Rattus norvegicus: one gene and its partner. The protein of the gene in region 2 interacts with the protein of the main gene of each other region in a pairwise test. Links are inferred from orthologs where the notes say so. Each region holds a gene or a part of one and is shown on either strand. Other genes may lie near its edges.

The links.
Region 1: the proteins of Ndn (region 2) and Gkap1 interact in a two-hybrid assay, tested with the Homo sapiens proteins (2 studies listed by BioGRID and IntAct). The link is inferred for Rattus norvegicus from reciprocal best matches to the Homo sapiens genes NDN and GKAP1.

The regions. Positions count from the first base shown.
Region 1 is NC_086035.1:6,398,734-6,404,008, reverse strand, and holds part of Gkap1 (G kinase-anchoring protein 1), read right to left. Parts: intron 5,223-5,275; 5' UTR 5,181-5,222; coding exon 4,965-5,180; intron 4,521-4,964; coding exon 4,377-4,520; intron 1,881-4,376; exon of another isoform or gene 729-1,880; coding exon 651-728; exon of another isoform or gene 533-650; intron 1-532. UniProt on the Homo sapiens protein: Regulates insulin-dependent IRS1 tyrosine phosphorylation in adipocytes by modulating the availability of IRS1 to IR tyrosine kinase. Its association with IRS1 is required for insulin-induced translocation of SLC2A4 to the cell membrane.
Region 2 is NC_086019.1:125,259,229-125,264,442, reverse strand, and holds Ndn (necdin), read right to left. Parts: upstream 3,385-5,214; 5' UTR 3,318-3,384; coding exon 2,340-3,317; 3' UTR 1,785-2,339; downstream 1-1,784. UniProt on the Homo sapiens protein: Growth suppressor that facilitates the entry of the cell into cell cycle arrest.

The sequences.
Region 1 (5,275 bases), on a different chromosome or scaffold from region 2:
CATTCTTTCCCCCCTTCTTTTTAAAAAAGTCTTTTTCTGCATATGAGTACCTCTGCACACTATGTGAATGCAGTGCCTCTGGAGACCAGAAGAGGGCCTGGGGCTGCCGCTGGCTGTCAGCTGCAGCCACACAGACACTAAGACCTGGAGCCAGGTCCTCTGGAAGAGTAGCCACAGCTCAGAATCATGGAGCCTCTCTCCAGCCTTCATTTTGGTTATTTAGCATGTAGTGAATACGGGCATGGAAAATAAAGCACGCGGGATACCACAGACCACCTCACAGGCAAGGGATTTTTATAGCAAAATTGTTTGCTATGTGCTTTAATTTCTCTCTTCTTCCCTCCTGGGACAGGGACACTAGTGGACTGTAGCATGGCCAAAAGGGCCTCAATCATGACAGGGGATAGTTTTGATCACCTTGAATGACAACAACAAATCCTAGTAAAGGTTAACGAGTGCGGTGTTGCAGAAGTCAAACGTCACACAATTTAGACACAAGAACTGGAAACCAACACGACTTTTCCCTTAACAGCCCTCTCGTCAGAGCTGCATGATGCCTAGATCAGTGCTCACTTCTGCTGGGTGAGCGCCATGTCCTGCACTGCCTGCTGTCTCCCAGGCACGCCCGCCTGCCCGCCCGCCGCCCTCACCTGTCTGTGCTCTTCGTACTCCAGCTTACTCAGCAGCAGCGCCTTCTCGAGGTCGGCTTCAAACATTTCAGAGGTCAGCTAAAAAGATTGTTTCACAATAAACATCCATTTACACTACACTTTCAAAATAAGCATGATCTATGAGAATACACACAGCAAAGGAAAATGGATGTACTTTAAACGAACATTTATCAGTTTTCCTAAGTTATTTAACCATGCTATCCTAGCAACCTTGTGCTGTACACAAGCATCAACTCCTGTTTTTGAAATTTCTATTTCCCCATTCATTGTTAATTTGGGTAAATACCCACGTCTACATATGCTATAGATATCTCATATTTTTCTCCCCAAAATCCCCTCACACTGTGAATAAAATATTCTGACATCCTTAATTCAACAGGACAGGTAAGCATCCCAATCAGACACGGTGCCACACCAGCAGCCACGTGGCCGGACCAGCAACAGCAGGCAGGGAAGGTCAGCCAGGCCTTCTCCACTCTCCCAGGCGCTGTCTTCGGATATGCAGGAAGGAAGGACACCCACCTGACAGTTATCCCGAGATGTGGTGTCTGCTAGCTCCCGCCTTGGAGTGTCCCAGAACTTGCTAGTTTCCATCTTTTATGGCCTAAGTTTTCAGGTTTTAGTTACTCCTCAATAAATTTTTGCCCAAGTTACTAAGAATTGTTATGTTGTTCAATGTTTTAAAATATACAGACTAAAATAGTAACCAATGTCAAAAGGAATGGGTAAAGGCTGTCTTAAAAATTAGAAAACTATCAAACTCTACAAATTAAACTTTTCTAAGTGAAATCACCCCTTAGAAAGCATCTCACTTGATCCTTCGCCAAGACAAAAACAGTGAAACAAGCTAGCTTTACACAGAAAAACACTAACGGAAATGCAATGAGAATTAGACTGGTAAGGAAAGTGCATGCAGGAATCTGAGGAGGCCCACAATAAACTGCAATCCTACGATGATCCCGGGGGACTGAGGAGTTATGCAATCCCAATTAACTATTAGCAGGAAACAGCACCTCACAGCTTAATCCTAGGGGCCTGGAGAGCTGGCTCAGTGCTTATGAGCACTGGCTGCTCTTGCAGAGGACTCATTCCCAGCACCCACATGGTGGCTCATTCCAGTTCCAGAGGCTCCAGCACCCTCTTCTGGCTTTTGTAAGTACTAGGTACACAGGTGATATACTTACACACATGCAGGCAAAATCTCCATAGTAACCCCCCAATCATTATATAGGTAATAAAAAATAATAGTGGGGCTGGGAATTTAGCTCAGTGGTAGAGCCCTTGCCTAGCAAGCGCAAGGCCCTGGGTTCGGTCCTCAGCTCCAAAAGAAAAAAATAATAATAAACTAAAAATAAGATATATATATGCCACATTAAAAAAGTATAAATCAGTTTATCTAAACTGAGTACAAAATGTTTGCTCATAAGTTAAAATATAATAATGATCTTTTTAAAAAACATTTATTTATTATCTATGAGTACACTGTCGCTGTCTTTCTTCAGACACACCAGAAGAGGGCATCAGACCCCATTACAGATGACTGTGAGTCACCATGTGGTTGCTGGGATTTGAACTCAGGACCTCTGGAAGAGCAGTCAGTGCTCTTAACCACTGAGCCATCTCTCCAGCTCAATGGTGATCTTTTTAAAAGTATTTGTCCTGAACAAAGCTGGTTAATTTGCCACTATAATCCTATTTTTAACATTTAATTGTGGTAAGAAAATTTGTGATTTCTTCTAATATCATACATACATTTGGGCTGAAGTTTCAAAAAGTCAGACTGCAGGACAAATTAGGAAACCTTGCAAGATACTGATTTTCCAGTAACTCACTGAATTTAATTTGTAGTGCAGATCATTCTGATAAAACAATAAAAAAGAGTGTGTGTGTGTGTGTGTGTGTGTTGTTTTGGTCTGTGCTTTTAAGAGAGAAGCTCTTATTATGCTGTCCTGAGGTCATTACACAGACCCAGTGGATCACAAATTCATAGATCCGATGAATTTTACTTAGAAATGAAATTTGAAGTGCAGAAAACAAAAGCCGACCGATCAACAACAACCCCATGGCTTTCCCAGGACCCTGAGTCTAGCTGTAAGTTTAGTCTGCCCCCCCCCCCCCCGCCTGCGGAGCCGACAACTGGCCTACAGTGCGGTGAGCAAGCAGAGGTGAAGAGTGAGAGCATCGCACGCAACTCCAGCCACCCTCACATGTGCTTGTTACTAAGATAAACTAGTGTACAAGTAAACAAAAGGAATGAAACCTAAAATCTCAAAACAAAGAAGAGCCTTAATTGGGACATACCAATTCTCTGAAAATAAATTTTATGTTGCTATTTAAAGGACAGAAGTAATTTTGATAGGTAGAAAAAGGAATAGAATACAATGCTGACATACAATGCTCACGATAGTTCACAAAGTGCCCTATCTCATGGAATACTAAAGACCACCCTGATACACGGTGCAAGACTGGAGCATTTCCTTCTAAGCACAAGTTCTAAGATTCCGGGTCTTTCAACAACATACCTAGTAAATTCCTCAAGGTCCTGAACCATGTGATCTGTTTTCTTTGAGAACCACCTGATCACCGTGACAGCAAATATGGGAAAGAAAGGTAATCGGAGACTGTGTTCAAGTTTACACACTGCTTTCGGTATAAATCTGACTCATTTTCCTATGTTAGTTTCCCTCTGGCTACTGGGAGAAATTCTCCTTGGTGAAGACAATGGTAAATCCTATCACAATCCAACGGCAAGTCAACGGCATGTCACCAGCGGGAAATGTCAACAGCATTAATGTGTGGCTCCTGAGTAATAACTGGTACTCACAATACTAAGTCTTGGACAGTGCAAGAGCCTAAAGAAAAGGCACTGAAAACGGTTTATCTGAAGCGTGTGCTCAAGCACTGCTGGCCTCCATGAGTTTGCTTTATTGGTCCCCAGCTAGGCTGAACTCAAGCTTCCTGCCTCAGTTTCCCAGGAGGTTAGATGCTTGGATTACATACGTGTATCACCACACCTAGCTTTGTCTACTTCCTTTAAAATGGTAACACAGAATGACTGGAAATCCAATAAATGGACCAAGTACTGTCTGAAAATAATGCCTATTTCCTACAGATCAAATTATAGTTCAGTAAATATGAAAATAACGTTCACTTCCTACGAGTGTGTGCACACACATGCACACTCATTCTCACACACACTCTGTGCCTTCCTTCCTTCCCTCCCTCGTGTGTACTCTCTCAAAGAGATACAGACTAAATACCACTAAATAGGTCAGCAGAGCCAACATGCCGTCAGCAGTTTCAGACAAAGTTACAAAGAAGTTTTACTTCAAAGTCACTGTTTAAGCAAAACTGTTACTACATATTTTTAATAAGAGATTTGTAGTCCTATAAATCCGTTTTAAAAAATTTGAACAAGTGCTTTTCAACCCTCTCTTCAGCCCTTCAAAAGCTGAAATAAGTATATTTCTCTATGTTCCTAACACTTTCCCTTACAAACAGTGGATGAACTAAAAACAGATGACCAGGGCTAGGGTTGTAGGTCAGGATGCTTAGCTAGCGTGCTGAGGCCCGAGTGAATTACCTACTGCGCCCAGGCCGCGCCCCATCAGAGCCCGCAGCACTGTGGGGGAGAGCTCGGCTGTGCTGCCATCTTACCAGGCCGTCGGCCCAGAACAGCCAGGGAGGGCACACACTCAGCTGTACCTGCTCGTCTCTCTGTCTCCACTCTTGCCAGTTTTCTTCCCGTGATTCCTTCTGCACTGGGTTTGGCAATGAAAGCTCATGTTGAACATTGCAAACAGAATGGGAGGATTTCTGGGGAATTTTCTTGAAAGCAAGATTCCTGAGCTAAGAAATAAGCACAAAATATATTACATTCTGCACATCAATACTAGTGGCTTTAATTTTAAAATATTTCTAGTCCATTCCTTACATTAACTTATACAATGGAAAGTTATTTGTGGATTTATCTCTATTTTTAAATTTATTAATTTGTTTACCACACAAAGTCTCACTATCCTGTCCAGGCTTGCTCAAGCAACCCTGCCAGCTTAGTCTCCTGAGCAGCTGGGGCTACAGGCACGGACTGCCCCCCTTTAAGATGTCTCTGTCTTAATTTAATAGCATGAACACACAAGCTGCTCCAGTCAGGAAGAATGTCTGAGTGTTGGCTGCGTGTGGGTTCAGGTAGGTGAATGTCACCGGGAAGCCGTGTCCTGTGCCTGACACGGTGTCTGCAATGAGGCTGATGGCGTGTGCTCCCTGCCCCAGGACACAGACAGCCATGGCTACCTCGTTTGCTTCACTCTGCTGCTGCTCCTTCTTTTTCCTCCTCTTCTCCCTTTTTTTCTCATTGGCGGTTGATTTGTTCCCCAGAGTCTGAGACTTCCCATTGTTCCGCCCTTTGCCTTTCCCAGGCTCAGAATCAGAGCCACTGCCGCTGTCCACTTGCAGCAGGGCAAAGCGGGAGGCAGTTGTAAGCACAGAGCTGAGGACTGCTGAGGCCATGGCTCAGAACAGGGGCTTAAACGCTTATGTCAACAGTAACTCCTGTGGGCAGGGGGAAGGAGGGGAGGGAGGGAGAGGGGAAGAGAGAGGGGGAG
Region 2 (5,214 bases):
AATACTTGGAGTACTCTCCTATCTTAATTTTTAGGCCAATATGAAAATATAAGAAAGTTATTGAATAATTTCCCCCTACGTCCCCAGGCTGTGGTGCCTATTGAACCAGGCACCATGAATTAAACACTCCATAGCTGAAAAGCTTTCTCCTCTATGGCTAGCTGTCTCCAAGACAACGCAGTTGGAGAGCAGCCCTGCTCTTGCTCCTGCCTGTAATCAGCTCCTTGTTTCTCACTATCCTATCCCTCAGCAAATGTTTAGCTAAGGTGCCAGTGTCAGTAATCTTGAATCTGTTTTACATGGATCTGCAAAACTGCGATGTGCAAAATTGTAATCTGCAAAACAAGCCCATGCAAAAACAGACTCAATATCCTTACAGCAGAAAAACCCTAAATGTTTTTAAATAGGTGTGACAGCAAACATCAGCTCTTCACGAAGAAGTCTGCTGAGAGCCAGGTCACCCATATTAGGGTTACTGTCAGTATCTTCCCACTTTCCATTCTCACTCCCGTAAAAGACTATGGGGGCAACTAAGGAGGATGAGTTCTGTTTTAAGAGATACATGGATTTATAAGCATTTTCATTCCCTGCACCACCAGCTAGGCAATGTCACTAAATGCTGGCAATTCTGTATGTCAAAACACTGACTGTAGCTCTTTCACATTAACACGACTCCCAGTTTACTCATGATTATGGTGTGACAGGTATGCACCCCTTATTCCCCTTCCCCAGAAAAAAAAGTTTTTTTTAAAACTTTTACTAAACGACTTTTCCCACATAAGAGTCTAAAGGATTTCTCATCTCATTAATGCTTCTTCTCTCTTTTTCTTCCCCGACGAAAAGCTCCCTAATGAAATTTTTTTTTTGCCCCAGTTGTTGTTTACAGTGATTCTCATCCCATTTCACCTTCTCTTCACCTACTGTCCACTGCAGCATACTGACTTCGGAGTCGCACATGTGACTGTGCTGCTGGGTGCAACTTCCTATTACCACCCCCTCCTCGATTTCATTAGTGTCATGACTCATACAGGAATCACTGTCAGAATAATTTCGTTCATTTTCATCCCCCCCGAAAAGATGAAATTTCAGATCTTCTTTTTACCCCTTAGCAAGATAAGGACTTGATTGGGTCATCAATTCTTTCTGAAATGAGTTTCCTAATTCGTACATTCAGAGGCTAATTTGCGCAAAACTCTCAGAATTAATTAGAAAAATCAAATCCTTAATGTATGCAGCAGGGAGACAAGGGTGCTTGTGTGAGTGGTAGCCATGGGGAGCTAAGTGTCAAGACTCCAGTATAAGGTCTATGATTTTTAGGGTATTTCATTACCAGCATCCTTTCATTTTTCTTGCTTTGTGCTGATACAGTCATTCCTTACTTCTTATGGCTGGTGGGAGGATAAAATAAAGAAGAAAATGCACAACGAGGGTTTAGTAGCAATATTTCATTCTGTTAAAGTGCCCACCAAAGACTATTTAAAACAAAAAAACAAAACAAAACAAAACAGAAAAGGGACAGTCCCTACATAATTCCTGTTATTATTCCCACGTTATGTGAACATGCCTTTTTTTGTTATCACGCCTTTAATGTGACCAATTTCTTGAAGCACCACAATTTTCAAAAAACTTCTGAGTGGTTATGAGTGGTGTTTTCCCACTCTGTTAGAAGTATACTTGCTCATGTTGTACACGGGGAGAATCTTTCTCATCCCTACCCACTCCCATTCCCCCTTTCACCAAAATAAATGCCTCCCCCCCAAACAAAGAAATTATTTCACGGTATATTTAATGCTCATTTTAAAGTTTATTTATGGTGGGGTTGGATACATGTTTTGCAAAGTGTGCTAAGTGCTTAAACTGAAAACAGTCCAGTTCAAATCAGTCCATTCCACATGGATGTTTCCTGTGCCAGTTGGAGTCATATGGAGAGGGACCCTGACCTTTCTCTTGGTCAGGTCTGTGTTGTTGTTAAGTCCTGCTAACTCTCCAGGGCCTTCTTTGTCGATACGGACCATCAGTCCCATTCAAAGAACAAGATACAGAACACCTCAATGTATTTCACAAGTTTAGCACAGCACATCTCTTGTACAAAAATCCAAGAAAGCACAGAAGTGAAAGTACCAACTTGCTCACTTATAAAACACACATGCATCAATTTTAAACACTACACGAGTACACAACTGAATACATTGCATTACAAGATAAAAAAAGCACTGGATGGAAAACTTAAAAACTATACATGAAATACTGCACTATGAATCTGGGATACTCTAATGTCCAACCCCACCCTTACACAGCCCTAGTATGGGTCAGAAACTATCAATGTGCTCCTGGACATTTTAGTCCTCAGAGACACTGCTGCGGGGGGCCTGGGCGACAAGATTAGCCTCCCGCAGAGCTCTGGCCTGCTCCAGAGCCTCTCTGTAGCGGGAAGGCCAAGCCTGGGGATCCTTCTTAAAGACTCTGGCCAGGAACTCCATGATCTGCATCTTGGTGATTTCACGGTTAGCTCTGGGGCCCCAGAAGAACTCGTACTCGGGAGGCTCGATGTGGGGCACACGCTGGTACTTCAGGTAATTCTGCTGGACGAACTCCTCGGTGATAATCTTTCTCACATCTCCGAAGGTGGAGTGCTTCTTCCAGGGCCTCAGCCCCAGGATGCGCAGCACATTCCAGACCGCACCCTCTCTGGCCCCGCGGCCCTTCACATAGATGAGACTCAGGATCATGAGCAGGAGACCTGTCATGGGCATACGGTTGTTCAGCGCGACTCTGTCCAGCTCTTCTGGGCTGAGTGCTTTGACCAGGGCGAACTCCATGGTGTGGAGATTGGTCAGCCTCAGGTGCAGCCCGAAAACTCTGGCGAGGATGACGCTGGTGCGCCTGAGGATGCTTCTGCACCACTTCTTGTAGCTGCCCATGACCTCTTTCACCATGTCTGGAAACCAGAGGACCATCCTCTTCTGGTCCTTGACCAACACGTACCACATGAGCTCGTGCGCCTTCTGCACCAGCTGGGCAGGGGCCGGCGGTGCTGGGATCGGCCGGGCTGGGCTCTGGGGCTGGTGGGCGCGGCCCTCTTCTGCGGCCTGCTGCAGGATCTTAGGGTCAACCTCTTCAAACCGTTCTGCAGGTGGTGGCGAGGCCTGTGGGGCTGCCATAGGGCCTTCCGGAGCGCACGATGGCCCTGAGAGGTTCGCGGCCAGAGGAGCGGGAGGAGGGACCCCCACCGGAACAGCATCGCTGACCTGCATCTCAGTGTCGGGGTCCTCAGCGGCAAAGTTAGGGTCGCTCAGGTCCTTACTTTGTTCCGACATTCTGCGTCTTTTGATCAGAGCAGGACCGCTGCGACTCGGAGCTCTCGGAGCCTGCACTGCCTCAGTGGATACTAGCAGAGGAAGTGCGCTTTACTGAGCACTGCGCCTTCCGCAGCAGCGGGCCGGGCGGGGCAGACGCTATATTGCGCATGCGTAGTGGGAAGCCAGAAGGGTGGTAGGGCTGGATAGGAGCGAAGTAGCAAAGCCCAACCACTGGGGTCTAAGGGAGGGTACCACTAGTATTATGAAAAGGATCTCCTGGTCTCCTGTATGGGACAGAGATGGGTGATAGTGGGGAAAGAAACAAGTTGAAGGAGAAAGATATAGCTGAGATGGTGAAGTTAAGTTCCGACACACTGAGTTAAGTGTGAAGGTCCTGGAGGAAGAAGACTAATTCTTGAATTTGAGTTTTCCACAAAAGAATAGGAGAGACAAAAATAACCTTTTCTTGGAAAGTCATACCTGATGATGATGATGATGATGATGATGATGTGTTGTCTAATATCAGAATGTTGAGAAATTATTAATAGAGATAAATCGTTACAAATCTGAGCAGTATCAAACAAGGAAGAATGCAAAGTATAGTTACAGACACTGGAAATCAATCCATGTGAGAATTTAATGTTTTAGAAGTAGATTCATATAACATAATTGATGTGCGTCTAAAATTTTAATTAAAATGGGACTTGGTTCAGTGGGCAAGAGCTGTTGCAGTTCAAGCATGAACCTGAGTTTAAACCCCAGGTCCCACATGAACAAAACAGATATATAAAATTATTTATATGTATTCATTCATCGTTGGATTCTTAGTTTGTTGGCTTACAATTATTTTAATAACTATGGATTTGGGCTCTGCATTTCTATTAGGTCACTTTGATTTCATTTAGAAATTCCCTTAAGAATCTAGTGGGAAATGATCAACATGTTTATTAATACACATTTTATGATAGTGTATTTTTCATGCACTCCCAGTGCCCTTTCCCCCTGCTTACTGCTGTTACATCTTCATGTTTATAAGAAATCTTCCACGTCTTGCATTACGTCATTAGCAAATGACTAATTCCATGTTGGGCGCACGTCCAAATCTTTCCCAATATCTTTCAAATGCAATTCTTTTGGATAATATCTAACATTCTTTCATAAATGAGAGGCAGCATATTGGTGTTCATAAATAAAAAATGTAGATTGAGAGGAGGTAACCTGAACCTGATATTTCCTCGAACTTTCCTTTATGCAATGACCATGGTTGAAGCTTCCAAAGCCAGAAGTCCTTAAATTTGATCATCTTTCTTATTCTGAAATAATGGAATTCCTTAGCCCTTCTTTGAGTTCCTCAAGTTTAAAACATCTTAAAATTATGCATTGAGATTTATTATCACTTAAAACAGATGTATTTAAGGTATTGGGTTGGCATTCCTTGGCTCTTCAATGTGTTTATTTAGACAAGACAGACATCTTTTACCCAGAATATTTGTGGCAAGAAGTATGTCCGTGTTTCCAGGTTTGAGAATATTCGCATATGTACAATGATATGTTATAAGCTCCAGAATAGACATGTTATTAGTTTGCTTTCTATCCACATTTTGAAGGCAACATTATACAATAGTCCTGGTAGACTTTTGTCTCAGTTGTGATCTGGTGAGAGCTGATATGGGATTTGTCACTTGTAATATCCTGTACATCCTGGAAATGTTTCAGATTGTACAATGTTTGCTATTTCGGGTATTTGGACTAAGAGTGCTCTAGTCATTTCTTAGATATGTTTTTCCCAAGTGGGTTGATTTTGAAGAATTTTCTGGGCTAACTCACTATGTGTATACATACATGCACATACTGTATGTATACCTATGCATACAGTGTGTTTGCCATCCTGTACTTAATGGGTTCTTGAAAACAA